Linked DNA regions of Macaca mulatta. The protein of the gene in region 1 purifies or fractionates together with the protein of each later gene. This does not show direct contact. Links are inferred from orthologs where the notes say so. Each region holds a gene or a part of one and is shown on either strand. Other genes may lie near its edges.

The links.
Region 2: the proteins of RRM1 (region 1) and RRM2B purify together in Homo sapiens (affinity purification with western blotting; 3 studies listed by BioGRID and IntAct, counting the BioPlex papers as one, with this or other methods). This does not show direct contact. The link is inferred for Macaca mulatta from reciprocal best matches to the Homo sapiens genes RRM1 and RRM2B.

Annotation. Positions count from the first base shown.
Region 1 is NC_133419.1:71,712,216-71,727,771, reverse strand, and holds the start of RRM1 (ribonucleoside-diphosphate reductase large subunit), read left to right. Parts: upstream 1-1,973; 5' UTR 1,974-2,262; coding exon 2,263-2,281; exon of another isoform or gene 2,282-2,940; intron 2,941-9,018; exon of another isoform or gene 9,019-9,053; coding exon 9,054-9,142; exon of another isoform or gene 9,143-9,182; intron 9,183-13,091; exon of another isoform or gene 13,092-13,115; coding exon 13,116-13,293; intron 13,294-15,556. UniProt on the Homo sapiens protein: Provides the precursors necessary for DNA synthesis. Catalyzes the biosynthesis of deoxyribonucleotides from the corresponding ribonucleotides.
Region 2 is NC_133413.1:112,564,371-112,579,826, reverse strand, and holds part of RRM2B (ribonucleoside-diphosphate reductase subunit M2 B), read left to right. Parts: intron 1-903; exon of another isoform or gene 904-935; intron 936-1,592; coding exon 1,593-1,748; intron 1,749-8,061; coding exon 8,062-8,178; intron 8,179-9,124; coding exon 9,125-9,258; intron 9,259-9,996; coding exon 9,997-10,091; intron 10,092-15,456.

The DNA.
Region 1 (15,556 bases):
CAAACAAGTTAAAAGGAAAAAAATCTCCTGAATTTCCCAAGTGCCTACGCTGCATATTCCCCTTGTTAGATCCCATTTTCATGTTACTTTGTAGCCTTGGCCAGAGGCTCAAAAAGGACACAACCAGTTTGGGGGAGGGGTGGCTAAGGAAGATGGTATAGGTGAAGGTGGCTGTGTGACCACTTCCCCCCACCCTTCCCACCCTCTATACAACTCTCTCCCTTACCTGTTTTTGCTATGGCTGTAAAGGTGTTTTCCCTCTGCCCCACTCCCTGCCATGCCTTTATCCTGGGATCCTATTTTGGGCCTAGGGTGGGTGCACCTGGGGCTGGTCTTAGGAGGGTGCTAGGTTGCAGACTGCCTTGTACCCCCTGGACACCCTCAAATGGGGTTTTCTGTGTTATTTCATAAGACTCTTTGAAGTCCAATAAAGCATGTAGGAGATTTTAACCCCTGCTGGCTTTGACTCTCATTGTGTTCTCTGTGCTGTGGCATGACGGGATGAAGAGACTATCTTTCCTTTGCCCAGGGAAAATGAAACTTGAATGCACATACCCAGAAGCTCTGTGGGCAGGGTTACCAGATACATGCAGGGCGACCAGTTAAATCTGAACTTCAGATAAACAGTTTTTAAAGTATAATTTTCTCTCATGGAGTGTCTGGGACACAGTTTTATTTGCTAAATTGGGAAACCCTATGTCTGGGTAAACTTGACCCTATCTATCCTATAACTTCACTTATGACTTTTAAAAAACATCTATTTAATTTTTCTTTTTCGTTTTTTTTTTGAGACGGAGTCTTGCTCTTTTGCCCAGGCTAGAGTGCAATGGTGTGATCTTGGCTCACTGCAACCTCTGCCTCCTGGGTTCAAGCGATTCTCCTGCCTCAGCCTCCTGAGTAGCTGGGATTACAGGTGCGTGCCACCATGCCTGGCTACTTTTTGTATTTTTAGTAGAGACAGGGTTTCACCATGTTGGTTAGGCTGGTCTCGAACTCCTGACCTCGTGATCTGCCTACCTCAGCCTCTCAAAGTGCTGGGATTACAGAAGTAAGGCACCGCGCTGTCCTAATTTTTCTATTTTTTGTAGAGATGGGGGTCTCGCTATGTTGCCCAGGCTTATCTCAACCCCTGGTCTCACATGATACTCCCGCCTTAGCCTCCCAAGATGCTGCGATTACAGGCTCACTTATGACTTTCCATGATTTTTAAAATTACTTCACAGGAAGCTTGGGCAGCTTCTGGAGGGTAGTGAGAAACCAACGAAAAGGCTTTAGGGAAAAGATGCCACAGATGAAATTTCATAAAGATCGCTTTGGGTAGCCCAAATCAGAAGCTTCTACACCAGCCTTGCATATTAGGGTTCTCATCTATTCTTATTCTCCACTTTAAGTCACCAAGTCCATCCTACCTCCACAAGGCAAATACCCTTTCTCTGCTACCATCCACTGAAGAACCCCAGAAGCAAATGTGTACTGACCCTGCCCTGCTTAAAATTCTCTCAGGGATCTGATTTGCGTCAGGATAAAATCCAAACGCCATTGGCCTTGCGCGGTTTTCTTCCAGTTCCTGAGTGCCACTCTTCTGGCCGATCTGAAAGCCCTGGGGCTCCAAGCTGCCCACGGCTGTGGAGCCTAGGCTTGAGCCCACAGCGGACGGCAGTGTTAGGATTATTACAATAAATGTCAAAGCAAGAAAAACGTTCCGGCCAGTTAGGTTTTGTTATTTCAAAAGCAACAAAATAAGTGAACCGCCTTTCCTCCGGCGGAGACACGCAAGCGACAAGGGCGGCGCCTGACCTGGCAGGCTCTAGGTGTTACGCCAGGGCCCCAAGGCGTCCAAATTCGGCTTGCCCACACAAAACATGGCGGCAGGAGAGCAGCGTTTCCGCCGGGCATGTCCACATCCAACGGGGCCCATGGGAGAGGCGTAGTCTTCTGTGTCTTGCCCAGACTCAACATGGCGGCTACAAGGCGCCTGAACTAGTCTGCGAAGCCTACCCCAGGCGTGGGCCGCAGCGTCGACTAACGTCATTCGAACCCCGTCGCACCCCTTTGTGCGTCACGGGTGGCGGGCGCGGGAAGGGGATTTGGATTGTTGCGCCTCTGCTCTGGAGAAAGTGCTGTCTGGCTCCAACTCCAGTTCCTGTCCTTGACCAGCGCCTGCAACCTAACCCTTCCTACTCTGTCACCTTCTTGATCCCGCCGGCGCTTTAGAGCCGCAGTCCAGTCTCCGATCCTTCAGAGCCTCATCCACTAGCTGCGATGCATGTGATCAAGCGAGGTGAGGGGGCAACGACGTGGGCGAGAAGGGAGGTGAGGGGACGCGGGCTGCCGCCGCCGGAGCTGATGCCCAACCCGCCCGCCCGCCCGCCTCCGCTGCTTCCCGCCCGCCTCCGCTGCTTCCCGCCTTTCCCGCCTTTCCCGCCGCGGCCTTCCGCCCTGTCAGCTCGCTCGGCCTTCTGTCTTCAGTCAGCCTGCCCCGAACCTCCTTCGGGCCTTCAGGCTGCGCCCCCTCGGCTTTGTCATCCTGCCGCCTTTCAAAAGGATAACGCCCTGTATCGAGTAGTGACTGCCGAGCACTTTCCAGGCACTATTTTATTCCTCTCTACAAGCCTCCGAGAGAGAGATTATTAGCTCCACTTTACAGATGAGGAAACTGAAGCTCAGAGCGAGGTTTCGGCGACTGACCTAAAGTCACCCATAGCTGACAACACAGTTTGATTTGGAAAACCGTGGGGTTGGTGAGCTGTCTTAGGCACCGGGTGGGGGGGCAGCTAGGAAAGAAGGAGGGGGACTCTTTACCCTACACAGCCACTTGTCAGTTTACTGATCTCTTTTGTGGGGTGAGGATAGGAGTGTGGGGTGGAAAAAACAGATCCCAGACAGACAGCATCCTGGAGTTCCTTTCCCTTCATGGCAAGAAATACTGAATCAGAGAAGGTTGGTTGAGACATCTTCTGACAAGATGGGGACTGGGAAGAGTCAGGAACTTGTATTCTTTCTCAACAGTTCCTTTTCATTAGACTTGCCGAGTCCCTGCTTTGTGCCCAGTCCTTTGCTTGGCTTTGTGAGATTATAAGAGGAGACAGTCCCTGCCTTGGGAATAGGCTTAATCGGGTTGGAAAAACAAGAGCAACATACTTTTAACAGCCACATGAGATATGTATGAACAAGTTTTGAGTTGAACCTACTTGCCTTTGTTAAAGCAATACAATTATTTCAAAATTGTAGGCACTTGGTAAATACTGGTTGATCGACGGGTTGTTTCTGTTTTGTCCTCTAGGCTGTGAACATATCAAAGATGGAGATTTGTTTGAGACAGAGTTTTGCTCTGTCACCCAGGATGGAGTGCAGTGGTGTAATCATAGCTCACTGTAACCTTGAAGTCCTGGGCTCAAGTGATGCTCTTGCCTCAGCCTCTCAAGTAGCTAGGACTATAGGCATGCACCACCATGGGTGGCTAATTTTTTAAAATTTCTGGTAGTGAAGGAGTCTTGCTGTGTTTCCCAGGCTGGCTTTGAACTGCTGGCCTCAAGCCATCCTCCCTTCCTTGGCTTCCCAAAGTGCTGGGAATACAAGCAAGATGGAGACTTTTCTGCTCACATTTAGCACAGGACCTGACGTGAATAGATTCTTAAAGAATGAAAGAAAATAATTGTATCAAAATGTAGGACATGATGAGTGCTGCGAATAAGCAGGTAGTTGATTTGGTTTAACTACAGCCAATGTCCAGATTGGTTTAACTACAGACAAGAGTTGGAAAGGTGGACAGTAGTGGCCCTTCTTGTTTTTGGTATCTTGAGAACATCATTCTCTGAATTTTCCTAGCTCCCATTTTAGCTGACCAAAGAGCAAAATCTTTTATTGATCCATTCCTAAGAGTGAGAGCTAAGCATCTATTTTTGTATTTTTATTTTTTTACATTATTATTTATTAGTTTTTTTTAGAGACGAAGTCTCGCTATGCTGCCCAGGCTGGTCTTGAACTCCTGGGCTCAAGCAATCCTCCCACTTCAGCCTCCCAAAGTGCTTGGATTACAGTGCTGGGAGCCACCGCACCTGGCTTGAGCATCTATTTTTTAAATCATTAGATATGGGAGAGATGTTTAGGATGGTTTATGATAAGTTAGTAACAAAGATAAATTGAAAATGTATGGACTTAGATGACCAGAATGGATAAAATTCAACTCTGTGTTGAATTTTTAACATTTTGAGTCTACTTCTAAATACTGTTGTTTAAAAAGTGCTACTTTGGCTGGGAGTGGTGGCTCACACCTGTAATCCCAGCACTTCGGGAGGCCAAGGCCGGTGGATCATTTGAGGTGTGGAGTTTGAGACCAGCCTGGCCAACATGGTGGAACCGTCTCTACTAAAAATACAAAAGTTAGCTGGAGGGTAGTGGTTTGCGCCTGTAGTCCCAGCTATTCAGGAGGCTGAGGCAGGAGAATTGCTTGAGCCTGGGAGGCAGCGGTTGCTGAAATTGTGCCATTGCACTCCAGTCTGGGCGACAGAGTGACACCCTGTCTCAAAAAAAAAAAAAAAAAGTGCTAGCTACAACTAACTAAAAAGCAGAGCTTATTTTGTTTCTCATTCCTTCATAGAGCATAATTTGATCCAGATGGTTCATGCTGTAGATTCTGCCGTTGTAGCATTCAGCAACACTTGTTAATGTACAACATGTACTTAGATTTCTTTCTTTATTTTTTTATATTTCTATGTTTCTATATTTTATTTTTATGTTTGTTTAATATGCATAGGGTTTTTGGTTTTCTGGACTTTTTTTGTCCCCTCTTATTTTTGGCATGTCAGTGAAATATCAGACTAACTCCTATAGTTTTTGTTAATTTTTTCTTTTTTTTTTTTTGAGATGGGGTCTTGCTCTGCCACCCAGGCTGGAGTGCAGTGGCATGATCTCAACTCAACTGCAGTCTCTGCCTCCTGGGTTCAAGAGATTCTCCTGCCTCAGCCTCCTCAGTAGCTGGGACTACAGATGTGCACCACCATGCCCAGCTAGGGTTTGTTATTTTTAATATAATTATTCAGAAGGGCAACTGGAAGTTGACTTTCAAGTACCTACTGAATGTGCTAATGTCTTGCTAAACACTGTGAGGGCAGTAATGGAGAAGGCAGCTCTGTCTTTAAAGAACTTAAAATTGTTAGGGATTTAGGAACAATCCATATTAAAATTGTTAGAAGAGAATAGTAGATAAGTTTTTTTCATCTGCTATCTTGAGCTGTTTTTCCTAATGGGAGAATATCATTCCTCAAGGAGATTATGGTTAAAAAAATAAACACTGAGAACCATTGCAGTAAATGACAAAGTAGCTGACTGAGTTGTAAACTGTTTTGGAATTTAGTGTAGTATTTTCAAAACTTTGGATTGTAACTCGCAGTAAAAAACAAAACGTTTTACAGACATACATGTATATATGTGGATACACATAAAATGATACAAAAGTTTACGAAATAATGTCTTCGAAAGCATCCATTTGCACTCTAATCTTTCTTTTATTCCAGATTATTTCCCTATCCCTCCCTTCCTCCCCCCTTCCTTCCTTCCTTCCTTCCTTCCTTCCTTCCTTCCTTCCTTCCTTCCTTCCTTCCTTCCTTCCTTCCTTCCTTCCTTCCTATTCCATTCACAGCCTGCTATATTATTTTACAACTCTGTGTGTGGATACTGTGCTGTGTACTGGGATTCCTGTGATGAGTAGGCAGACATGGTTCCAGCTTCCAAAGATCCTACAATCAATTGAGAAAGATAGACAAATAAAGAAGTAATATGATAAGATATGATAAATACTCTGAGAGGTAAAGTATAGGCAGTAGAGGCCATTCATTCAGTTATTCATAAAGCATTTATTCAGCATCTCTTTGTGCTAGGAGCTGTTGTAGGCATTAGAGATTCTGCAGTGAACAAAGCTAAATTACATTTCTCATTGAGTTTACAACTTGGTGTGGGTGGGAGTGGTAAGTGTATATAAGAAATAAGTAAACATAATAATCAGTTAATTTCAGATACTGATTAATGAGATGATAGTAAAACAGGATCATGTGATAAAGATGAATGAGAAAATAACCTTGGATTAGGTAGCCAGGAAAGGCTTCTCTGAGAAGCCAACATTTGAGCTGAACCCTAAATAGTACTAAGAGGTACTGTAATGTGAGATCTGTGGCCTGAACATTCTCGGCAGAGGAAATTACAAAGTTTGTATCTTGTGGAAAAGGCACGCATCCTTGGTCTTACAGGATTAGGGACATCTTCCTGAAGAGAGAAGAATGAAAGACAGTTTATAGTCAAGAGGAAATCACACTAGTATGCTAGAGGATTTTTTGTTTTATTTTTTATTTTTTGAGATGGAGTCTCGCTCTGTTGCCCAGGCTGGAGTGCAGTGGTGTGATCTCAGCTTACTGCAACCTCTGCTTCCCGGGTTCAGGCAATTCTCCTGCCTCAGTCTCCCGAGTAGCTGGGATTACAGGCACCTGCCAGCATACCCAGCTCATTGTGTGTTTTTTTGTATTTTTAGTAGAGATGGGGTTTCACCATGTTGGCTAGACTGGTCTCTAACTCCTGACCTCAGGTGATCCGCCTGCCTCAGGAGTTAGATGTATGGAAATGTGGAAGAGGAACTTTTAGGCAGAGTACGGTATAAGCAATGATGTGGATATGGGAATGGGAAGCCTTCTTGGGACTTACATTTCACACGGAACAGTAGAAGAGATCTGGGGCCAAACTAAGAAAGACTTTGCTTGAGAGAAGAGGATAATGTAGGCAGTGAGAAGCAGGGATTACTGATGTGATAAAATCGACATCTGGCTTGAAAAACTAACCAAGTGGAATGACAGAATAGAGAACCGCGTGTCATTGGACCTTTAGATCTTTAGTCTGCCTCCTATTCTCACGTGTGAGTTAAGATTAATTACCAATGCACTTTTTTTTTTTTGTCAGTTTCCTGATTGACTTCAGAACTTCTGGCAGTTGCAGAATTTTCTTTTTGCTAAGTTGCTTTTCCCCGCCACTCCATGTATAATTGCAGAACGCTAATGTTGCTTTGTGGTTACCTGCCTGCTTAGTTTTCCAATTGCCAGAGCACTGAGGTTTCAGTCCCAGTGGCAGCCAGTTAATTTACCCTGTTCCAGAGTTAAATGCTGCAAATGTGAGCCTAATCAGAAAATTATCACAATGGTGATCAGAAAGAGAAGGGCTAATATATCAGTGTAGAAGAAAAAGCAACTTGTTCTAGTGATAATGGTTTAATAGTGATGTCTTATTGTTCATTTATTCTTCATCAAATGTTTGAGAACTTGCCTTGTTCTAGGCACTAAATTTGAGAATACAGATGTGAATGAGAGGGCCAAATGTAAATATATTTAACATGTTTCTTATTGGTTACTTCAGGTTGAGTATCCCTTATCCAAAATGCTTGGGCCCAGAAGTGTTTGAGATTTTGGATTTGTTTCAGATTTTGGAATATTCGCATTATACTTACCAGTTGGGCATCCCTAATCAGAAAATCCAAAATCTGAAATGGTCCAAGGAACATTTTCTTTGAACATTGTGTTGGCATTGAAAAAGTTTTGGATTTTGGAGTGTTTTGGATTTTGGAATTTTGGATTAAGGATACTCAGCCTATAGTTACAATGGATTGTGGGTGCACAAAGGAGACAAAAACTAAATCAGTGTGAGACACTAATATTTATTGAGTGCCTATTGTGTATCACATACTGTGATTTTTTTCCCCATAGGAGCAGCTTTATTTTATAATGAGGTATCATAGTTGTAACTATGCCAAAGTTGTTACAACAAAAGCACTTTTTACCTTATCTCATTTTATTGTCACAGTAAACTGGTGAGGCAAGTAGAATAGATATAATAATTAACCCCTTTCTACAAATGAAGATCTGTGAAATGACTGATTATGTTTTGTGGCTTGCCTAGGGTTAAGGCTGTTTGGTGGTTTGATATATTCACTATTCCTGGTAAGAATAAATAAAGGTCGGATGAGCTACTATTTGAGGTTAAACTAAGAGTAGTAAGACTTTTGTCTAGAAGGACAAAGATATAATCTAAGTCCAAAATCATGAAAAATATTAGGTAAAATATATAGTATGTCAGATGGGATAAGCGCTATGGAGAAAAAGCACAGAAGGGGAAGGGAGATAAGAAGAGCAAGGGCCCTATTTGGGGCATTGCAATTTAAAATGGAATCATCAGGGAAAGCCTCATTGAGAAGGTGATGACATTGAGCAAAAGACCTAAAGGAGATCTATAGCAAGAAGGCCAGGTTGTCAAGGTAGAATAGGAAGGAAGGTGGGAGAGTTGGAGGTGAAATTGGGAGGTGGGTGCACAGGACAGGTTGTATAGGATTCTGTGGATTTTTTGTTTTTTGTTTTTTTTTTTTTGAGATGGAGTTTCACTCTTGTTGTCCAGGCTGGAATGCAGTGGCGTGATCTCAGCTCACTGCAACCTCCGCCTCCCGGATTCAAGCAATTCTCATGCCTCAGCCTCCTGAGTAGTTGGGATTACAGGCTCCTGCCACCACGCCCGGCTAATTTTTTGTATTTTTAGTAGAGACGGGGTTTCACCATATTGGTCAGGCTGATCTAGAACTCCTCCTGACCTCAGGTGATCCACCCGCCTTGGCATCCCAAAGTGCTGGGCTTACAGGTGTGAGCCACCACGCCTGGCCTGTGGATTGTTTTTTAACAATTTTGACTTTTATTCTGGAGATAAGAAGCCACTATTAGGAGTTTTGAGGGAGGTAATGATATGATTCTGAGTTTAACTTTTAAAGGGTAATTTTGGCTGCAATGTGGGATGGGGGGAATTTAGGAAGTTATCTGTAAATATCTGTATGTATAGAATTCATACTCTTTGAAGGTGACATCAGAGAAGACAATCTCGTCATGAATCTTTTGAGGGGGCCTGAATCTTATCTGTGAAATAGCATTTCATGTTGGTCAATTTACATGTTAATTACATTTGATTCTTTGACATTGCAGTCTTAATAATTGCTAACAGAATTTAATAATTGCTAACATGATTTGATTCTTTAGATGGCCGCCAAGAGCGAGTCATGTTTGACAAAATTACATCTCGAATCCAGAAGCTTTGTTATGGACTCAATATGGATTTTGTTGATCCTGTAAGTAAATATGGTTTTTATCTTGGGTTCCTTGTTTCATGTGTTTCTTTCCATTTGTCTCTTATTCCTGGACCTTCACTCACCTGACATACTTTGGTATTCTGGCTATGCCCTTTGATATAAAATTTGAATTCATTGCTTAAAACATTTTTTTTTTCTTAATTTTGGTTCTGTCCTGTGAGTTCTCACTTTTCAGAGAACTATGAATGTGAGTAAAGAAGAAAATTTGATATTAACATTTAATATCAGATATTTCCTTGAGTAAATTGTTTTATTCATTAGTGGAAAAGCCTAGGCCAGGCGCGGTGGCTCACACCTGTAATCCCAGCACTTTGAGAGGCTGAGGTGGGTGGATCACCTGAGGTCAGGAGTTCAAGAACAGCCTGGCCAACATGATGAAACCCTGTCTCTACTAAAAATACAAAAATTAGCTGGGCCTGGTGGTGGGCGCCTGTAATCCCAGCTACTTGGGAGGCTGAGGCAGGAGAATCACTTGAACCTGGGAGGCAGAAGTTGCAGTGAGCCGAGATCGTGCCACTGCACTCCAGCCTGGGCGACAGAGCGAAACTCCCTCTCAAAAAAAAAAAAAAAAAAAAAAAAAAAGGGAAGCCTAAAGTTTGTTTTGGAATTGTGGTTATTTAGGTAGGAACTGGTTTAAAATTTGCTTTTTGTTATTTATGTAAAAAGATTTAAGTAATATAAAGTAGATTTCATGGACAATATTTAAGTCAAGAACAAACTATTCATAAACGAGTTGCTCTGCTTTTTTCCTTATCCTTTATAACTTCTATATTCTAGATTCTCATCAGTTATCTGGACTGTTTTCTGTGGTCTCTGCAGTGTCCTGGACTTCCTCTAATCTTGCCCTCTTCAAACTCGTCTTCCACCTGACTTCTAAAATGATCTTCCTTAAATGAGAATCTCTAAGAACTCTTTTCTTCAAATCCACCCATATTTCCATCTCCTTATTTAGGTATCTTATCTGTACTGCTGTAAAACCTGTGCTCATCTCATAGCTTTAATCATATAACATGGAAATTAATTATAGGTCTTTATCCTACCCTAGAATTGAGGATGGGCTGTGTATCTTATTGTTGTGATATCCTCAGTGCTTGACATATATCTAATTAGCCACTTGACCAAAGTAAGTTTGGTCAAGAGAAAATGATTTTATGCATCTTGAAAATATGTTTATTGTAAATTCTCTTTTACATTGAGAACTTAAGACAATAATTAGAATAGTAGAATGTTAGAGTTGGAATGAACTTTGAGAGCCCATCCCATTTCATCTTTGTTTTATAGGTAAGAAAGTTCCAAAGAGAGAAGGAAGTGACTTAAGTTAGTGGGAGTATAGGGAGAAGCACCTAGGTCTCTTCACTCCCACATGTTCTATTGCCTCATGCAGTAGTACGTTTTAGAGCACAGGAGTGTTGCAGCATCCTCAAACTTCCTAAGGTAGATTCTGTTGAAAAACTGTCGGTGCACGTCTGTAATCCCAGCACTTGGGGAGACCAAGGTAGGCAGATTGCTTGGGCTCAGGAGTTTGAGACCAGCCTGGGCAACGTGGTGAAACTGCCCAGGTGCAGTGGCACAATCTTGGCCCACTGCAGCCTCCGCCCCTGGGGTTCAAATGATTCTTGTGCCTCAGCCTCCCTCCGCTGGGATTACAGGCATGTGCCACCACGCCCGGCTATATTTTTGGATTTTTAGTAGAGACAGGATTTTGCCATGTTGGCCAGGCATGAACTCCTGGCCTCAAGTGATCTGCCCGGCTTGGCCTCCCAAAGTGCTGGGATTACAGGTATGAGCCACACCGTGCCTTCCCTCAACCCTGTTTCTACAAAAACAAAACAAAACAAAACAAAAACAAAAAAAACAAAAATTAGCTGGGCATGGTGGCGCATGCCTGTAGTCCCAGCTACTTGGTGGTGGGAGGATCGCTTGAGTCCTGGAGGTTGAGGTTTCTGTGAGCTGAGACTGTGCCACTGTACTCTAGCATAGGCCACAGAATGAGACCCTGTCTCAAAAAGAAAAAAAGAAAAACTGTGTATGCTGTTAGATCTGGCACAGCACAGTTAGCACACAGATGGTATTTTATTCTGAGTTCTAATTGTTTGCCATATTACTCTAGAAACTATTTAGAAGACTTCACTGCTCTTATACTGAACACACCTTATCTACTGGATCTGGGAAGAAAGTGATCGGGAGCAACTTGGGTTTAGCTATATTATAATTAGAATAGATTGCAGACTGTTAAAATAGTTACACATGTATGTGTCTTTTTTTTGAGGGGGGTATGCATTGTTCAGCTGGGAAATACATTTATTTTCTGTTGGATTAAGTGGTTTCTTAAAGATTCAATAAACACACACACTCACAACTTAGAATTTGTTTTTCTTAAAAATGTATGCTAATACCTTGTGCATTACGTGTCTTAAAAATGAACTTACAATGTGGCCTTGAAAACAGTGAAATACAGTGAAGTTTAATGGGGTTGGGGCCAGAAGACTTGTATAATAATATAACCTTGGGCAAGTCCCAATAACCTGAGCCTCAGGTTCTTAATGTAAAATAGGTATAGTAATAATCATCTCACAAAGTGATTATGAAATGTCAGAGATTATCAAAGTTGATAATTTTTGATCAACTTTGGTTGAGAATCATTTGAACCCCAGGGGTGGAGGTTGCACTTTGTAATTTGTGAAGTGCTAAAGAAAGAGTAGTCATTAAATTATCATGACTCAGCCCCAAACCTAATTTATACTTCTTTCTCCTTTAATTGGCATGATTAAAGTTTGATTCATTTGCTTTTCTGTACTTATCCTTATATGGAATTTGGGAAAAGTAAGTATGAAGCTGGAGCCCTGATCACTTAGGGAGGATCTGAATGAAAAATGGGGAAACACTCATATAGAATCATTAGTCTGTTGGGAGAATTTGAATGAAAATAGGGAAATACAGAATCATTAGTATGTTTTCAGCTATTTCCCTGTGAGACTAATTGATTTAAAGGCTATATTTAGGTTTTTTTAAATAACACCTTCATTTTATATGTAGTATACATTTTCTGTAGTTCTGCTGGGTTGTGCATTCTCATTACTAAGTTTCCCACTGCCCACCATTCCGAAAGATAATTTTTCAGATAAGTAAATTGTCTTGTTCTTTGTTTCAGACAGGGTCTCACTGTGTTGCCCAGGCTGGAGTACAGTGCTATGATCATAGATAGCTCAGTGCAGCCTTGACTTCCCCAGTACAAGCATTCCTCCCACCTCAGCTTACCCTGTAGCTGCAACCACAGGCACTTACCACCTTGACTGGCTAATTTTTTAATTTTTAGTAGGGATAGGGTCTCATTATATTGCTCAGGTTTGTCCCAAACTCCTGCGCTCAAGTGAGCCTCCTACCTTGGCCTTCCAAAGTGTTGGGATTACAGGTGTGAGCCACTGTGCCCAACCTGTCGTTTATATTGTGATGTGAATTTGATTGTTTTCTTTTTTTCTTTCCTTTTTTTTTTTTTTTGAGACAGGGTCTCACTCTGTCGCCCAGGCTGGAGTGCAGTGGCATAATCACAGCTCCTTGCAGCCTCAGCTTCCTGAGTAGCTGGGATCACAGGTGTGTACCACCACACCCAGCTAATTTTTTTATTATTTGTGGAGATGGTGGGGGGGGGGGTCTTCCTGGCTTGCCCAGGCTGGTCTCGAACTCCTGGACTTAAGCCGTTCTCCCACACTGGCTTCCCAAAGTGCTGTGATTATGGGTGTGAGCCACAACGCCTGGCTTTTTTTTTTTTTTTTTTTTTAAAATAGGGTCATGAACTGCTAAGGTTAAGTGATCCCCTCACCTCAACTGCTGAGTAGCTAGGACTATAGGTATGTACTACCACACCTGGCCATGATGGTTTTCTTAATTACTCTTTTAAGGAAGCTATTGTTTCTTGGGAAAGCTCAAGTAATTCTTGGTTTTATTTTTGTAGGCTCAGATCACCATGAAAGTAATCCAAGGCTTGTACAGTGGGGTCACCACAGTGGAACTAGATACTTTGGCTGCTGAAACAGCTGCAACCTTGACTACTAAGCACCCTGACTATGCTATCCTGGCAGCCAGGATTGCTGTCTCTAACTTACACAAAGAAACAAAGAAAGTGTTCAGTGGTAAGTCTTGGGTGAAAAAGTAAAAATTCAGTATTCTCAGAAAAGTAATAAGGGTAGTAGAAATCTTGACTGTTTAAAGAAGCAAATATGGCTAGGTGGGGTGGCTTACACCTCAAATCCCAGCAATTTGGGAAGTCAAGGCAGGCAAATTGCTTGAGTCCAGGAGTTTGAGAACAGCTTGGGCAATGTGGTGAAACCCCATCTCTGCGTTTTAAGAAAAATCTAAAATTATAAAACAGACCGGGTGCAGTGGCTCACACCTGTAATCCCAGTGCTTTGGGAAGCCAAGCAGGTTGATTGCTTAGGTCAGGAGTTTGAGACCAGCCTGGCCAACATGGTGAAACCCCATCTCTACTAAAAATACAAAAAATTAGCTGGGCATGGTGGCGGGGGCCTATAATCTCGGCTACTCGGGAGGCTGAGGCAGGAGAATTGCTTGAACCCGGGAGGCGGAGATTGCAGTGAGCCGAGCCTATGTCACTGCACTCCGGCCTGGGCGAGAGAGTGAGACTCTGTCTCATAAATAAATAAATAAATAAATGGCAAATATGTAAATTAGTGGGAAAGAGTGGACTACAGTTTCCTATTTCTCCATGCTTCCTATCTGCTGTATAAAAGAGTTGATGTATCTTTGTTCTTTAAGTTTTTTATTCTCTCTCTTTTTAAATTTTTTTATTTTTTTTGAGATAAAGTTTTGCTCTTATCACCCAGGCTGGAGTGCAATGGTATGATTCGGCTCACTGAAACCTCCGCCTCCCGGGTTCAAGCGATTCTCCTGCCTCAGCCTCCCGAGTAGCTTGGGATTACAGGCAGTTGCCACCACACCCAGCTAATTTTTGTATTTTTAGTAGAGATGGGGTTTCACCATGTTGCCCAGGCTGGTCTCAAACTCCTGACCTGAGGTGATCTGCCCTCCTTGGTCTCCCGACGTGCTGGGTTTACAGGCGTGAGTCACCGCACCTGGCCTCTCTCTCTCTTTTTTAAAGCCCATTGTTAGGCGCTTGGTGGTGATATGGTTGGAAAAATGAATAATATTTATTAACAAGTTTTGGGTTAAACAAAATGTTATACTTGCTCCTTTCTCACTAGATGCGAACTCTTCATTTCATCACTACCATTTTACAGCTCAGGGAATGTGGGAAAGGGAAGGTTAATTTGTTCAATATATAAGAAGCCAGCTGGTAGACTGAGATTAAAAAATCTTTATTGTTTCCTATCGGGAGCCAAAAAGGAAAAAAAAGTTTTTAAAAATTTTATGCCAGGCATGGTGGGCCTAATCCCAGCACTTTGGGAGGCCAAGGCAGGAGGATTACTTGAGCCCAGGAGTTCAAGACTAGCCAGGGTAACATAGTGAGACCCTTTCTCTCCAAAATTAAAAACGTTAACAAGGTATAGTAGTGTGTGCCTGTCATTCCAGCTACTCAGGAGGCTGAGGTGGGTGGCTAGCTTCCCAAAGAGCTGGGATTACAGATGTGAGCCACTGTCCAGCCTTAGGAATCTGTTTTATTTATTTATTTATATTTTATTTTATTTTTATTTTTATTTTTATTTTTATATTTTTGAGACAGAGTCTCACTCTGTCACCCAGGCTGGAGTGCAGTGGTGCAATCTCGGCTCACTGCAAGCCCCGCCTCCCGGGTTCATGCCATTCTCCTGCCTCAGCCTCCCGAGTAGCTGGGACTACAGGCGCGTGCCACCATGCCCGGCTAATTTTTTGTATTTTTAGTAGAGACGAGGTTTCACCGTGTTAGCCAGGATGGTCTCTATCTCCTGACCTCGTGACTCGCCTGCCTCAGCCTCCCAAAGTGCTGGGATTACAGGCGTGAGCCACGGTGCCCGGCCCAGGAATCTATTTTAAACTACAAGAGCTTATAATCACTTTAACTCTAGAAGATTGTTTCCTTAAATGAGGCATTACATATTTCTTCAACATGTATGTGTTTTTTGAGCACTTTACATGCTAGATATTGAGGTGGGTTGAGATGAAAAAAAGGGTTGGCCGGGCGCGGTGGCTCAAGCCTGTATGTAATCCCAGCACTTTGGGAGGCCGAGACGGGCGGATCACGAGGTCAGGAGATCGAGACCATCCTGGCTAACACGGTGAAACCCCGTCTCTACTAAAAAATACAAAAAACTAGCTGGGCGCGGTGGCGGGCGCCTGTAGTCCCAACTACTCTGGAGGCTGAGGCAGGAGAATGGCGTGAACCCGGGAGGCGGAGCTTGCAGTGAGCTGAGATCCGGCCACTGCACTCCAGCCTGGGCG
Region 2 (15,456 bases), on another chromosome or scaffold:
CTGTGATCACACTACTATGATCTATATACTCTAGCCTGGGTGACAGAGCAAGACCCAGTCTTAAAAAAAAAAATTACTCAAATATTTGTGGAATGAGTACCAACTAAGTGCCAGGTACTGTGCTAAGCACAGGGATTCTACAAGGGGGAAAATGGTTTTTACTTTCAAGAAGCACAGGAAACTATAGACAATTAACAGGGAATTACATTGCAATGAGCTATGTACTTATATCTAGAACCTAACCCAGGCCTTTGGGGTAATATGAAGAGGGGAAAATATGATTGATTTAGTGGTTATTGTGTTGTGTCACTGATGTATTGAGGTCCTATGTTAAATTACAATTTTCTAAAGGTACCTAGAAATCTGAGTACAGGAAGAAGAGAAATTAGCAGCCCATTTACTTAGCTAACATGCTTGGCACGATCCTAAGTTCTGGGAACATCACAACAAATAAAAATTGGTTCCTCTTCTCCAGGGCTCAAGTGTTGTATCTGAGGAGGCCCACACCTTTAAACAAATAGTTAAAATCAAGACAATCTGTACTGTGATGGCAGTAGGTATAAAGCATGCAAGTCCCCCGGTATTTGCATAGCCTTATGCTTGTATTTTGGGCTTTCTTCTTGCGAAGGCTTAGCCTCCTCCTCTATAACACTTGCTTTGGTGAGGTGACAATGGGTGGAGGCTGGAGTAAGGAACATAATGGGCCTGTCACAGTAGAGAGAGACAGTTTTGGTTAGGAGTCTAGAATTTGTATGTGTTCTAATCCTGGTTTATACATGTTTAGCTTATTGGTATGTCCTTTGTGTATACTCATTCTCATGCATGTGCGACTCTTCTGGTCCTCTTCTGATGTTCCCGCTGACTATTTTAAATATATCTACATGGCACCATTTGCTCTTAGAGTGCAGTCATATTTTGAAGCAGTATGAATACAGGTTTGTGTTTCTCATTTTATTCACAAAGCTTTGAGACAGCCCACAGTGAGATCATATGCAGTAATGTTAAAATGTAAATAGAAGTAACAAATTGGAGTATCAGAAGGTTAAGATGAACAAAGGTTAAGTTGTAGGTAATGAGTTTTCAGATAAATATTATAGTATTTCAGTGAAGAGCAGAAAGAAAAAACATTAAAATAAAGTAGCTTATACCAGTAGCTTATTCATTCCAGCATTCTATATCAGAGAGACTCTAAAGGGACATTTTGTTCACAAACTTAGAAATTTGTCCATCATGACATTTATGGATCTAGCTTTCTACTTATCCTCAAACTAGCAATAATTACAATAATTTTTGAGTGCTTATTGTATACCAGGCTTTGTTTAAAGCACTTTTAATCATCAGAATAAACCTATGAGGCAGGAATTACTTTACAGCTGAGGAGACTGAGGGTTAGAGAAGTTAAGCAGCTTCCTATGGTGACACACGCACTTCCTAACAGTATTAGTCAGCTACCAGGTAACAGTAAGGATTCAACCCAGGCAGACAGGCTCTCAAACCATTGCCGTCTCCCTGACTTCCCTAGATGTATGTTTAGGTATGAATAAAGGAGAAATGTCTATATAAAAAGCATGTTTGTACTTTATTTTTCAAAGAGATCATCTTCAGATACCAACGACAATGAAATAAAGTCAAATGAAGAGCCCCTCCTAAGAAAGAGTTCTCGCCGGTTTGTCATCTTTCCAATCCAGTACCCTGATATTTGGAAAATGTATAAACAGGCACAGGCTTCCTTCTGGACAGCAGAAGAGGTACGTGGCATTGCCTTCATGAGCATTCATGTCCTATAGTGCAGTGTTCCCTTCTTGTTTTACAGGATATTGAAAAACTTTAACTTATACGTTGAAGAAGATCAGTTGCAGAAGATAAGTTTTGGAATTACTGAGACTAAATACGATGTTCTCAATGTTTTAGTTTAGATTACTATCTATAAACTAGTTTTCTGCTGCAACAATGGCATCTAATTCTCCCAGATTTTTATTTCCAATGTATTAGAACATTTTCTTTTTTCTTTTTCTTTTCTTTTTTTTTTTCTTTTTGAGACAGAGTCTCACTCTGTCACCCAGGCTAGAGTGCAGTGGCACGATCTCGGCTCACTGCAAACTCCACCTCCCGGGTTCAAGCGATTCTCCTGCCTCAGCCTCCCAAGAGCTGGGATTACAGGCACCCGCTGCCACGCCCGGCTAAGTTTTGTATATATAGTAGAGACGGGGTTTCACCATGTTGGCCAGGCTGGTCTCAAACTCCTGACCTTGTGATCCATCCACTTCAGCCTCCCAAAGTGCTGGGATTACAGGCGTGAGCCACCGCGCCCGGCCAACATTTTCAAATTTTAAACAGACTTTGAGTTTGATATGGCCAAGTAAGACTAGTCTCACTAGTCTTATAAGGTCGGCAGAATAAGTAAAATTGCAGCTTTAGTCAAAAAATGAGTGAAAGCTGGAGCAACTCTGCTTCCAACTGAGAGACTTATCTGATTGTACAAAGGGAGGTGCTGCATGAAGAGTTTGATCTTCAAACTCTTCATGGACTCACTCCTGAGTCAGCCAGGTGGAATTCACAGTGCTGCTCCCAGTTTGGCCGTGCCCTCAGCTACATCAGACGTGACAGAGTTGCCACTGAAAGACCAGCTGTAGAATGCTTTCTGTTAATTCCACCTAGGAGATCAGTTGAACACAGCAAACTAGAAAATATTTGCTGGTTGGTAAGGACAGTGGTCATGAAGATGATTGCCCTGTAGTCTAACTGAACAAATAGTTATTGTCTTGATCTTTGATGGGTGTTACCTGTACAGCACTCTTGTTCTGTATATGTTTGTATATGTATCTTTTTAGATAGATGTATCTATTTGGATAGATAGATTTGAATCTATCTATTTTTTCAAGAAGTTAATTCTATAAATGTTAAATACATGCTGTTAAGAATGCAGGCTATGGGGTCAGACTGCCTAGGTACAAATCCTGTGCCACTACTTACTAGATATGGGACTGGGAAAGTTGCATGACTTCTCTGTGTATCCTCATCAGTAAATTGGGCTAGTTGTACTTGGCTATTTGAGTTGTTATGAGGATTAATGAGATGTTTAAAATGGTAGTTGACACTTAGTAAGCACTAAATAAATGTAAACTATTATTTTATGCACAGAAGGGGGAAAATTTAACTGAGAAATCAGAAGGCACCAATGTTTGAAGTTCTATTACACTAATTTTACCCATATGCCATCTTTGTTACATTGTAGTGTTATATATTGTCAACATCTTTGTTATATTATAGTTGACATATACAGCAAAAAACCAAACCACACAAAAACAAACACCCAATATTTTCATACTGGGTCATAATGCTCGACACACCTGACTGTCCCTAACTGTCTGTGGTTTTTAGAAAGTTTTTTTGTAAGATACAGTTCAGAGAACAAGTGGAATACACAGGTGGCTTTTTGGTTCATCATGTTAAAAAGGTACTTAGGATTCTTAGGATTCTTGAAATTCATTTGGAAATTAACTTGCATCTTTTAGCAAAGATAATATGTGACCTGTAACAAAGAAGCACTAATTTTTAAAAACTGAAATCTACAGGTTGATACATGTTTTTTAGGTAATTATAGGAAGATTCAAATACGTATTTTGAAGATAAGTCAAACACATTTTTAGTTCCACATATTTTTCATTTACAAATTATGTAAATTACCATTTGATAAGCTTAAATGGTTGAGCTTAATTCTTAAATATGGCTGATCAACAGAAACCCTGATCAAAAGACAAAAATCTGGGGTTTGGGACTTTTTTCTTTAAAGCCACTCAGGCAATTACGATAATTATATAGTTTGGAATCAGTATTTAAATGATGAAATTGAGAAGTTGCTCAAATAAGAAAAAGCTAGGCAGGAAGGAAATATGACTAATGTAGTGTAAATAAAGTTTACAAGACCTTTGAAAGTGAGTGTTCAAAGAGATAATTTTAATATTTAAAAGGAAGCATCTTACAATATTAACATTTAATATCAAACATATATTTTATGTGGCTCACACCTGTAATCCCAGCACTTTGGGAGGCTAAGGTGGACAGATCACTTGAGGTCAGGAGTTCGAGACCAGCCCGGACAACATGGTAAAACCCTGTCTCTACTAAAAATACAAAAATTAGCCAGGCGTGGCAGCAGGTGCCTATAATCCCAGCTACTCAGAGGTTGAGGCAGGAGAATCGCGTGAGCCTGGGTAGCAGAGGCTGCAGTGAGCCAAGATCATGCCACTGTATTCCAGCCTGGGCAACAAAGTGAGACTGTCTCAAAAAAAAAAAAAAGTGAGGGGTTATAATATATTAGAATGAAGAAGATGTCCTTCAGTTAAACCTAAGTTGAGCTTTTAATAGAATAGAACTTGATTTTTAGGTTGCATATTAAAAGATGAAGACAAATGTTTCCTCCACCCTGCTCCGTTGTATCCCCAGTGCTTAGCACAGTGTCAGGTGTGCAGTAAGTGCTCAGCAAACACTTAAAGAATAAATTAATGGAAAAAAGGGTTTGGAAAATAGCATAAGTACTCAGCAAACACTTAAAGAATAAATCAATGGGAAAAAGGGTTTGGAAAATAGCATGTTATTAAAAAGTTGGGACATTAAGTCCTTTTTGGAAAGGTCAAAGAGATTGAGGCTTTGTGTTTTTTGTTTTGTTATTGTTGTTGTTTCGAGACAGAGTTTCTCTCTGTTGCCAAGTGGCACAATCTTGGCTCACTACAACTTCCGCCTCCTGGGTTCAAGCGATTCTCCTGCCTCAGCCTCCCAACGTCCCCTGGGCTGGAGTGCAGTGGCGTAATCTCAGCTCACTGCAACCTCTGCCTCCCAGGTTCAAGTGATTCTTCTGCCTCAGCCTCCCAAGTAGCTGGGATTACAAGCACCTGCCTCCATGCCCAGCTAATTATTTTTATTTTTAGTAGAGACGGGGTTTCACCATGTTGGCCAGACTGGTCTTGAATGCCTCGGCCTCCCAAAGTGCTAGGATTACAGGCATGAGCTACTGTGCCAAGGTGAGGCTTTGTTAGAGTAAATAGAAGAAAGGCAAAAGACAAGGACAGTTACATATTTCAACTGTTTATGAAGTTAATCCTGAGAAATATTTAAAAGATTTTTTCTGACAAAATTGAAGCAGGATAGTTTCTCTGATCCCTTCGCAGGTGGGAACTGGAATGCACATGCTGGAGCTAGCTGGCCGCTTTTGCGCTGGCAGGGGCAAACTCCACTCACTTGAACCCACTGTGCTCAACCCCTTGAGGGAGGGAGCATGCAGGTGAGCAGGTGCAGGAGCTTGGGCAAGTTCTTTTGGGCACCAGCAGGAGCAAAACTCCATGCAGGCCTCGTGGCAGTATCTGTGGGGAGTACCCACAACCCTTGAAGACCCAGAAGGAATGTGTTATAGTCAACTCTCTTTTAGTTTTTGCTGTCCGTGGATGGCTTGTTTTAACAGTTCAGTGGGCCCTCTGCCTTTTCACATGAAACAGTTGGTCTCCACCAGTGAGGGCAGAGGGTCAGTGTGACAGCCTTTAGCATCCACACCTGTGGCACCCGAGCTCTTGTTCAGCATCCAGGAAAAATCAGATTACATGAACAAATTGAAGGGTGGTGAATACAGAGGATTTTATTGCTGATGAAAGTGGCTCTCAGTGGGAAGGGAAGCTGGAAAGAGGATAGAGTGGACTCCTCTCCAAAGGATGCTGTCAAGCTGTCCCTCTGAAGTTAAGCTGCTTCTCTCTGATGTTCAACCATAGTCTCTGGCATCCAGCTGCTTCTCCTCTTCTCCTCTTCTCCTCTCCTCTTCTCTGCTGGTAGAGCCTGGGGTTTTTATGGGCATAGGGTGGGGTAGCAGGGCCACGGATGGTTTTGGAAAAGGTAACATTCGAGTGGGAGAACAGGAATGCATGTTGTCACTTTGGGCTGCAGTTCCAGGATTGAGGGTGGAGCCCTCGCCGGGGACCACCTTCTTCTGCCCAGAATTTCCCTGCCTCCTGTCCCTGTCAAAATGATGTCTACATATGCTGTGTGATGCTGTTTGGAGGTGGAATCTTGGGAGGTAATTAGATCATGTGGGTGGAGCCCTCATGAATAGGATTAGTGCCCTTATAAGAAGAGACATGAGAGATATGATCTCTCTCTGCTATGTCAGGATACAGCAAGAAGGTGGCCATCTGTAAATTAGGAAGAGGGCCTTCACCAAGAATCCAACTAGGCTGGCATCCTGATCTTGGGCATTTAGCTTCCAGAAATGTTAAAAAAGAAGAATAAAAGTATGCTGTTTAAGCAACCCAGTCAATGGTAATTTGTTATAGCCCCCAGAACTGACTAAGACAGGGTACATTGAAAGACAATTTTTGGCTGGGTGCAGAGGCTTAGGCCTGTACTCCCAGCACTTTGGGAGGCCGAGGCGGGCAGATCACTTGAGCTCAGGAGTTCAAGACCAGCCTGGGCAACATGGCAAAACCCTGTCACTACCAAAAATACAAAAAATTAGCCAGGCATGGTTTTGTGCGCCTGTGGTCCCACCTGTGCCTCTGGAGGCTGAGATGGGAGGATTGCTCGAGCCCAGGAGGCAGAGGTTGCAGTGAGCTGAGATTGTGCCACCGCATTCCAGACTGGGTGACAGAGTAAAACCCCGTCTCAAAAATTTAAAAAATAGACAATTTTTAAATTGTAGGTTTCACCAAATTCTAAAGTATATCTCCCTTAATTCCAAAGACTAATTCTAATGAACATTTTCAAAAATATTTCCATTCCCAATGGAAACCATGCCTACGTATAAACTGCTTGGGAGGCTGAGGCAGGAGAATGGCGCGAACCCGGGAGGCGGAACTTGCAGTGAGCTGAGATCCGGCCACTGCACTCCAGCCTGGGCGACAGAGCGAGACTCCGTCTAAAACGCAAAAACAAAAACAAACAAAAAACCAGATTATTGGTCACCTGTGGTAGCTCACACCTGTAATCCCAACACTTTGAGAGGCTGAGGTAGGAGGATTGCTTGAGGCCAGCAGATTGAGACCAGCCTGGGCAACATAGTGAGACCCCGTCTCTTTAAAAAAACAAGACAAAGCCAGGTGTGGTGACTCACGCCTGTAATCCCAGCACTTTGGGAGGCCGAGGCGAATAGATCATGAGGTCAAGAGATCGAGACCATCCTGGCCAACATGGTGAAACTCCATCTCTACTAAAAAATATAAATAATTAGCTGGGCATAGTGGCACCTGCCTGTAGTCCCAGCTACTCAGGAGGCTGAGGCAGAAGGATTGCTGGAACCCAGGAGGCGGAGGTTGCAATGAACCAAGATCATGCCACTGCACTCCAGCCTGGCAACAGAGCGAGACTCCGTCCCAAAACAAAACTCAGGTTGTTACCTGCCTGGCATTACTTCTGGATATAAAAGTAGACTGATTACCTGGCAGTAAAGTAGCAGCTACAGTTGGTTAATAGGTGCTTAATTAGCTAACACCATAGCAAATATTGTATAAAATGTTAAAGCAATGACTGTTGAGAATCATTAGCTTATTCACTTCAGTGCCTTCTTGACTAGTTTTTATTCTCCCTACTCCCCTTTTAGCCCTTCTTTCATTTGCTCTGGTGCCACTAGATTATGTTAATTTGGATATTTTTAAAGTACATCCTGGCCAGCTTCTTAGCCAGAAAATTTGATTCTGTTGTAATTTTTTAAAGATAAATTTTATTGTGTATGTTTAAGGTGTACGACATGATGTTATAAGATACATATATATAGTAAAATGGTTACCATGGTGTAATAAATTAACATTTCCTTTGCCTCATGTAGTTTAGCTGTTCCCCCTCCCCCACCAAGAGTAGCTGTAATCTATCATTTAACAAAAATTCTCAATATAATACACTTATTAGCATAACATTTTTGTTCTATTTCTTTGCAATGCTAACATCTTTCTTTTTCCATAGTTTACTGGTAGTGGGATATTCCTACTTAACTTTACAATGGAAGTTAGTTTCCCAACAGTTTCCCAAACACGTTGAGAAGAACTTAACTCCAAATTAAAATTTTTGAAAATCTTTTTATTCCAGGTCGACTTATCAAAGGATCTCCCTCACTGGAACAAGCTTAAAGCAGATGAGAAGTACTTCATCTCTCACATCTTAGCCTTTTTTGCAGCCAGTGATGGAATTGTAAATGAAAATTTGGTAAGATTTTTGCTTGATTTAACTTTTGTTCTCCTTTAGCAGTTAAATGATGATAATGTCATTAAGATTATTAAATTGAGCCAGAGGAAAGATGTCTAAAAAATGAACTAGATGAAGCTTAACTCTTTAAATGTTTTTCTGATGAATTGCTTATCCTTTGACCAGCAAATGTTATTAAATCAAGCATAAATTATACCAATCAAAACTATTTACAGTGCAGTAACATGAGTTTGATTTTTACCCTCAGATGGTAAGCTTAATAGAGAACCTGCACTTTAATAACCTTTGGAGCTCTGTAATAGAATACTGGGTTCTGGCTCCCCATTTTGAAACTTAACTATGGTTGATCAGAAGGCATAATTTCTTTTTAAAAAGAATAGAAAGATAGGCCAGGTGCGGTGGCTTATGCCTGTAATCCCAGCACTTTGGGAGGCCGAAGTGGGCGGATAACGAGGTCAAGAGATTGAGACCATCCTGACCAACATGGTGAAAACCCATTTCTACTAAAAATACAAAAATTAGCTGGGTGTGTTGGCACGTTCCTGTAGTCCCAGCTATTTGGGAGGCTGAGGCGGGACAATTTCTTGAACCCGGGTGGCAGAGGTTGCAGTGAGCCAAGATGGCACCACTGCACTCCAGCCTGGCGACAGAGTGAGACTCCATCTCAAAAAAAAAAAAAAAATGTGTGTGTGTGTATATAGATATGTATGTGTGTATATATGTATATATATGTGTATATATATACTGTGCAACTAATTTACCACGGATAATTGATGGATAAACAGTACTGCCTAGGATACTGCTTAAAATAATCCATAAGGTCTTTCTGACCTGTTTGTTATGTGACAGGCAGTTTTTAAGTGATAATGCTGATGTCCGGATTCTGATTTGCAGTGTTTAATGAGAGCCTATAGAACTGGATATGTCTGTTTCCCTTTCTTCTTAGGTGGAGCGCTTTAGTCAGGAGGTGCAGGTTCCAGAGGCTCGCTGTTTCTATGGCTTTCAAATTCTCATCGAGAATGTTCATTCAGAGATGTACAGTTTGCTGATAGACACTTACATCAGAGATCCCAAGAAAAGGTATTGTTGGGATTTTATTTACAAAATATTGCTTATGGCTTGGTTATATTCAGATCAGAATTTATTCCAAAATTCAATGTTAAGGAAAGATTCAAGTATGGAAGTTTCTGAGCATAATATTTTCTATTGCTTAATAATGTATTGAGTTTAAAAAAAAACTTGTTATAGAACCAGTTAACCTTTAGATATTTTATCTTTAAGAACTGTTCAGTAGCATCTTCTGTTTAGAAACTGAATACTCAGATTTAGCTGGTTTTGTATGAATCAGATTCAAACTAATAATTTGAGTTTTATTTCTATTTTATGGGCATGTAAAAATGTATAAAAACTGCCGATCTGGTATCATACCATAGAGTTACAGTTATTATCTCTGATTAAGTTTAGTCCAATTAAGAAAAACAAGTGAGGCCAGGCATGGTGGCTCAGGGCTGTAATCCCAGCGCCTTGGGAGGCCAAGGCAGGTGGATCACCAGGTCAGGAGATCGAGACCATACTGGCTAACACAGTGAAACCCTGTCTCTACTAAAAATACAAAAAAATTAGCTGGGTATGGTAGCGGGCACCTGTAGTCCCTAGGGAGGCTGAGGCAGGAGAATGGCGTGAACCCGGGAGGCGGAGCTTGCAGTGAGCCAAGATGGCGCCACTGCACTCCAGCCTGGGCAAGAGTACAAGACTCTGTCTCAAAAAAAAAAGAAAAACAAGTGAATAACTTTGCTGTTCATTCTTTTGTTTTTACAGGGAATTTTTATTTAATGCAATTGAAACCATGCCATATGTTAAGAAAAAAGCAGATTGGGCCTTGCGATGGATAGCAGATAGAAAATCTACTTTTGGTATGTGGCTCTAATTTATATATGATCAGATTTGCCTCAGGTGATATGACAATATTTTATGTGGTGTGACTAGCCAGTACTAATCAAAGTTACAGCATGGAAAAGGAGTACAAATATCTCAAATGCACCTTTACCAAAATCATTATTCCTAATAATTAATTAGAAAGTGTTGGTAAAATAAAGCTGTTATCTATTCTACTTAATAAGTTGGAAGTTGAAAAGTTAAGATGTTAGTGCATAATGACAGTTAAATAGGAGTCAGTCATATAGCAATAACAAGAGTATTATAGCAATTCACAGTTTGTACCTGGCTTTTAAGTTTATTTTAGGAATTTTTATTTTTTTTTTAGACAGAGTGTCACTCTGTCACCCAGGCTGGAGTGCGGTGGCGTGATCTGTGATCTTGGCTCACTGCAACTGCTGCCTCCCAAGTTCAAGCAGTTCTCCCTGCCTCAGCCTCCTAAGTAGCTGGGATTACAGGCACCTGCTACCATGCCCAGCTTATTTTTGTATTTTTTAGTAGAGATAGGGGTTTCACCATGTTGGCCAGGTTAGTCTTGATCTCAGATGATCCGCCCACCTCGGCCTCCCAAAGTGCTAGGATTGCAGGCATGAGCCACCACGCCTGGCCTATTTTAGGAATTTAAAGCAAGTGAAAACTTAACATTTTTGAGGAAACAAATATCTAGTTTCTCAAAAACTAAAGATTAGTGTAATCAACCAGGACAAAAAAACAATTTGTAATAACAGGCTTATTTTTCATAGGTAAGCTAAATGCAAACACCCTTCTGGCTGACTTGAGATCCCATAGCATTTTTTTAAGGAAGTGTATCATATTATGTCTTACACATAATAGTTGCTCAATAAATATTTACTACATTTAATTAAAATATTTCTATCTTTCATTTGGATAGCTCTAAGTACACATCTCATTCTTATCTGTTTTTAATTGGTGTTCTTTACTTTTTGGTTTTATTCATTATGTGAGGAAGCAAGTCTCAAAATTTTTGGTCTCAGGCCTCTTTGTACTCTTAAAAATTATTAAGAGCTCCAAAGTGCCTTTACTTGGGTAGGTTATAGGTATTGATATTTCTGCATTAGAAATTAACATTGAGATAATTTAAAAATATGTATTAGTGCATTCTAAGATAGCAATAATCAACCCATTACATTTTAATACGGATAACATTTTTATATAAGTTTCTGTATTTTCCCAAAAAAAAAAAAGGATAGCATGCTTTTAAATTTCTATAAATCTTTTAAATGTCCGACTTAATAGAAAACAGTTGGAGTACCATATCTGCCTTTGCATTCGATTTGTTGCAGTGTATATGTATGTAGTATATGCCTCATTTAAATACATATTATAGTTAGAAAAGGGAGAAATATTTTATTTAGCTTTTCAGATTATTATGAATATGTCATGTAGCTTCTAGAAAATACCATTGTAAAGTATGAGAGACTGGTAGTTAAAAAAAATAAATAATGCCTTAATGTTATTATGAAAATAGTTTTGACCTCACAGGTCTCCTGGGTCTGTAGATCTCTCAGGGACTCCTGGACCACACTGAAGAACCAGTGATGTAGTGCATATATGGGCCAGCATGTAGTATACCAGGGATGAAGCAGATATGTTTGCCTCCTTGCCTTCAGTTCATTTCGAAAATGAGAAAGGCAGCCGGGCATGGTGACTCACGCCTGTAATCCCAGTGCTTTGGGAGACTGAGGTTGATCACTTGAGGCCAGCAGTTTAAGACCAGTCTGGGCAACAAAGCAAGACCCCCATCTCTACAACAAATTTTAAAACTAGCCAGGTATGGTGGCATGCATCTGTAGACCCTGCTACTTGGGAGGCTGAGGGAGGAGGACCACTTAAGCCCAGGTGTTTGAGGCTACAGTGAGCTATGATCCACTGTGCTCCAGCCTGGGTGACAGAGCAAGACCCAGACTCTAGAAAAAAAAAAAAATTAAATAGGAATGAGAAAAGCACTGGTTCTCAATATATGTAAAAATCATCTGGAGAATTTGTGGAAAAACTCTTAAGAATCCTGCCAAAAGTGATGTAGGAGGCCCAGATGGGACTGAGAAATCTGCATTTTTGTATTCAGTTGATTCCCTCCCAAGGAGCTTCAGAAACACTATGGGAAATGCTGGCTTTAGAGAAAAAAGAAGGGAAAAGGCAGAGTGTTCCATATACACTGAAAATACTAGTATGGACAAGTAGTGATGAAAAATGATGAGCAGGCCCACAGAAAGCATGTATTTCATGAACTACCCAAGAAGGACAACCTAGAAATAGAGAAAACAGAGAAGGCTGGCAGTCACTATGTAACTACATGAGGACTCCAGCTAGATTCTTCATATTGCTTAATCTCAAGGGAAACCCCATTTCGGGTTCTAATTTAGGGTCTCAGAGGAAAGAACATGTTCTAAAATTGTGGAGGGGGAGTTGAATGAATGTAGAGTGGAACAGGGAAAGGGGAAAGGGTGAAGAGTGCATTGGTGACTCTCGTTTTTGGGAGTGGAGCTAAAAGACAGTAACATGGAAATATCGCCTTGCTTTGCTGCACACTGTTACTTTCCTTTAACCAGCTGAGGAAGTGCTATTTTATGAACTGATTGGGCTACCTGCACCGTTAGTAGCTATAAGTTGACAAGGACAGCTCATTCATCTGGCTTAGGGTTTTGCCTAACATTTTTGGTGACCTTCTTAGTGCCTTTTGCACTAAGATCCAGCATAGCAACTATTCTTTCCTTATATCCAGACTCTTATAAGCCTTTATTTTTAGCTAAAGAGAAACTAAGAATATTTCTTAAAAAATTATTAGTTTGTCTGAAAGTTTATGTTATAACAAGATTCAATTCCTATAGAGCAAAAATTTTCCTTATTATATATCTGTATAGATTTTTAAAAATTGAGACATCTTGTTTAATTTTTAAAATATTTTTAAAGAACTTTAAAATATATAGATTAAAACTTAATATATGTAATGAAATTTTATTTCAAGCCTCAAAAAATATTAGCTACACAATCTTAGTACATTGCCATCATAGAGGTCAGCTGTATCTTAAAAATATATCCAACCTTCCCCTCTCTAAAATGAATCATGAGGCCTTTACATTCACTATAGTTTTTAGGAGAAATGTTCTGGAACCCTCTTTTTATTTCACATATATCTCAAAAAATTGTAAAATGTGCCACCTGTAATCCTTTAATCTTCTCCAAAAAAGAATAGCCTTCTATAACTATGTTATGATTTTCATTCTTTAGTATTCACATGAATGTATAGCATGGTTACAATACCAATTTTCCACTAGGCACGGTGGCTTGTGCCTATAATCCCAGCTACTTGTGAGGCTGGGATAAGAGGATGGCTTGAGCCAGAAGTTCAAACCAGCCAGGGCGACATAGAGAGACCTTAGCTCTAAAGAAATAAAAAAATTAGCCAGGTATGGTGACGCACGCATGTAGTCCCAGCTACGTCAGAGGCTGAGGTGAGAGCATTGTTTGAGCCCAGGAGTTTGAGACTGTTTGAACCATTAATGCGCCATTGCACAACAGCCTGGGTGACAAGAGCAAGACCCCACTCTCTAATAAAAATAAAAATATCAATTTTTCTTTTATTCACGTTTGTATTTAATTATAGTCTACTTTCCTTACAGATAATTATCCTTTTGATGTTACCTTAATGTCAATGAAAAATGTATCAATAACTATAAGTTATCCTAATAGTAAGATAAAAGATACAGTAAGTTATATGTTAAACTAATGACAAGTCTCTATCTTAAGAATAGTGATTATGCTGATGATGATTTTTGAAATGGGCTCACTCTGTTGCCCAGCTGGAGTGCAGTGGTGTGATCATAGCGCACTGCAGCCTTGACCTCCTGGGCTCAAGCATTCCTCCCACATCAACCTCCCAGGTAGCTGTGACTACAGGTGTGCACCACCACACCCAGCTAATTTTTAAATTTTTTGTAGAGATGGGGTTTTGCTATGTTGCCCAGGCTGGTCTCTAACTCCTGCATTCAAGTGATCCTCCTTCCTCGATCTACCAAAGTGCTGATATTTCAGATGTGAGCCACTGCAGCACTTAGCCTAGAGTGGATTTTAATGTCTTCTCTCATCTAGTACTTCTATAGGTTCCAATGAGTCAGTTCAGGACTTGTTTATTTATTTATTTATTTTATTATTTTATTTTTTTATTTTTTTGAGACGGAGTCTCGCTCTGTCACCCAGGCTGGAGTGCAGTGGCCGGATCTCAGCTCACTGCAAGCTCCGCCTCCCGGGTTTACGCCATTCTCCTGCCTCAGCCTCCGGAGTAGCTGGGACTACAGGCGCCCGCCACCTCGCCCGGCTAGTTTTTTGTATTTTTTAGTAGAGACGGGGTTTCACTGTGTTAGCCAAGATGGTCTCGATCTCCTGACCTCGTGATCCTCCCGTCTCGGCCTCCCAAAGTGCTGGGATTACAGGCTTGAGCCACCGCGCCCGGCCTAGGACTTGTTTATTAAGTGACTTCTTTGTGTGTGGTCCTGTGACATGTACTGAGGTATAAACCGTGATGTCATCTATGAAAAAGGTTTGTAATGCACTCAAGCACTCAGCTGCCTGTATCTCACAGTCTAATAGACCAAACCTTTCTCCTTAGACATATATAAATACTTTTCTCAAGCATATGCAGTGTGGTGACATAAGCACCTTGTGAATGACCTTTTGGGTTAGAGCTCTGATCATCCTGTATAATGTCACAGATATGCTGCCACTGTAGACAGTTTCTTAATAGGAGATGGATTTCTATGAAGTCCTTGCCTAACAATGAGTAACCTTTAAAATTGGCCCTTTCGTATTTAGCAGAAAACGTACTTTTGCTTATTTTATGGTGATATTTTATCTAATAGATATACTTATTATCCTCAGTTGGGCTTATCTATTTTTTTTAAATTGCAGATCCATGCCAATGGTTTTTGAAATGTTTGCAGATGGTCTGTAAGATACCATAAGTTTCTGAAAATATAAACTTAAGCAACCTCTCCTACTTTCAGAGGAAGACACTTGTCATAAAGTCTACCTTCTACTCACCAGTCTAGTACACACACACATATGTATACATACTGCACACATATGCATGTACCTGCACTCACAGTCATGTGTGGGGCACACATAAATCACCTGTTGTTTTGAGTATGGAAGGTCCTTCTTTGTCCAGACACCAAGACCTATAGAAGTCCATTGTCTGACAGAGGATTTGAAGGAGGCATACCTTTCTGCTCCAGTAGGTAGAGGTGGCACATTTTCTCCTATGGAGATCTTTGGCCATGGCACTAACTTGTGTATTTTGTTTCTTTGCAAACAGTCATGGTATTT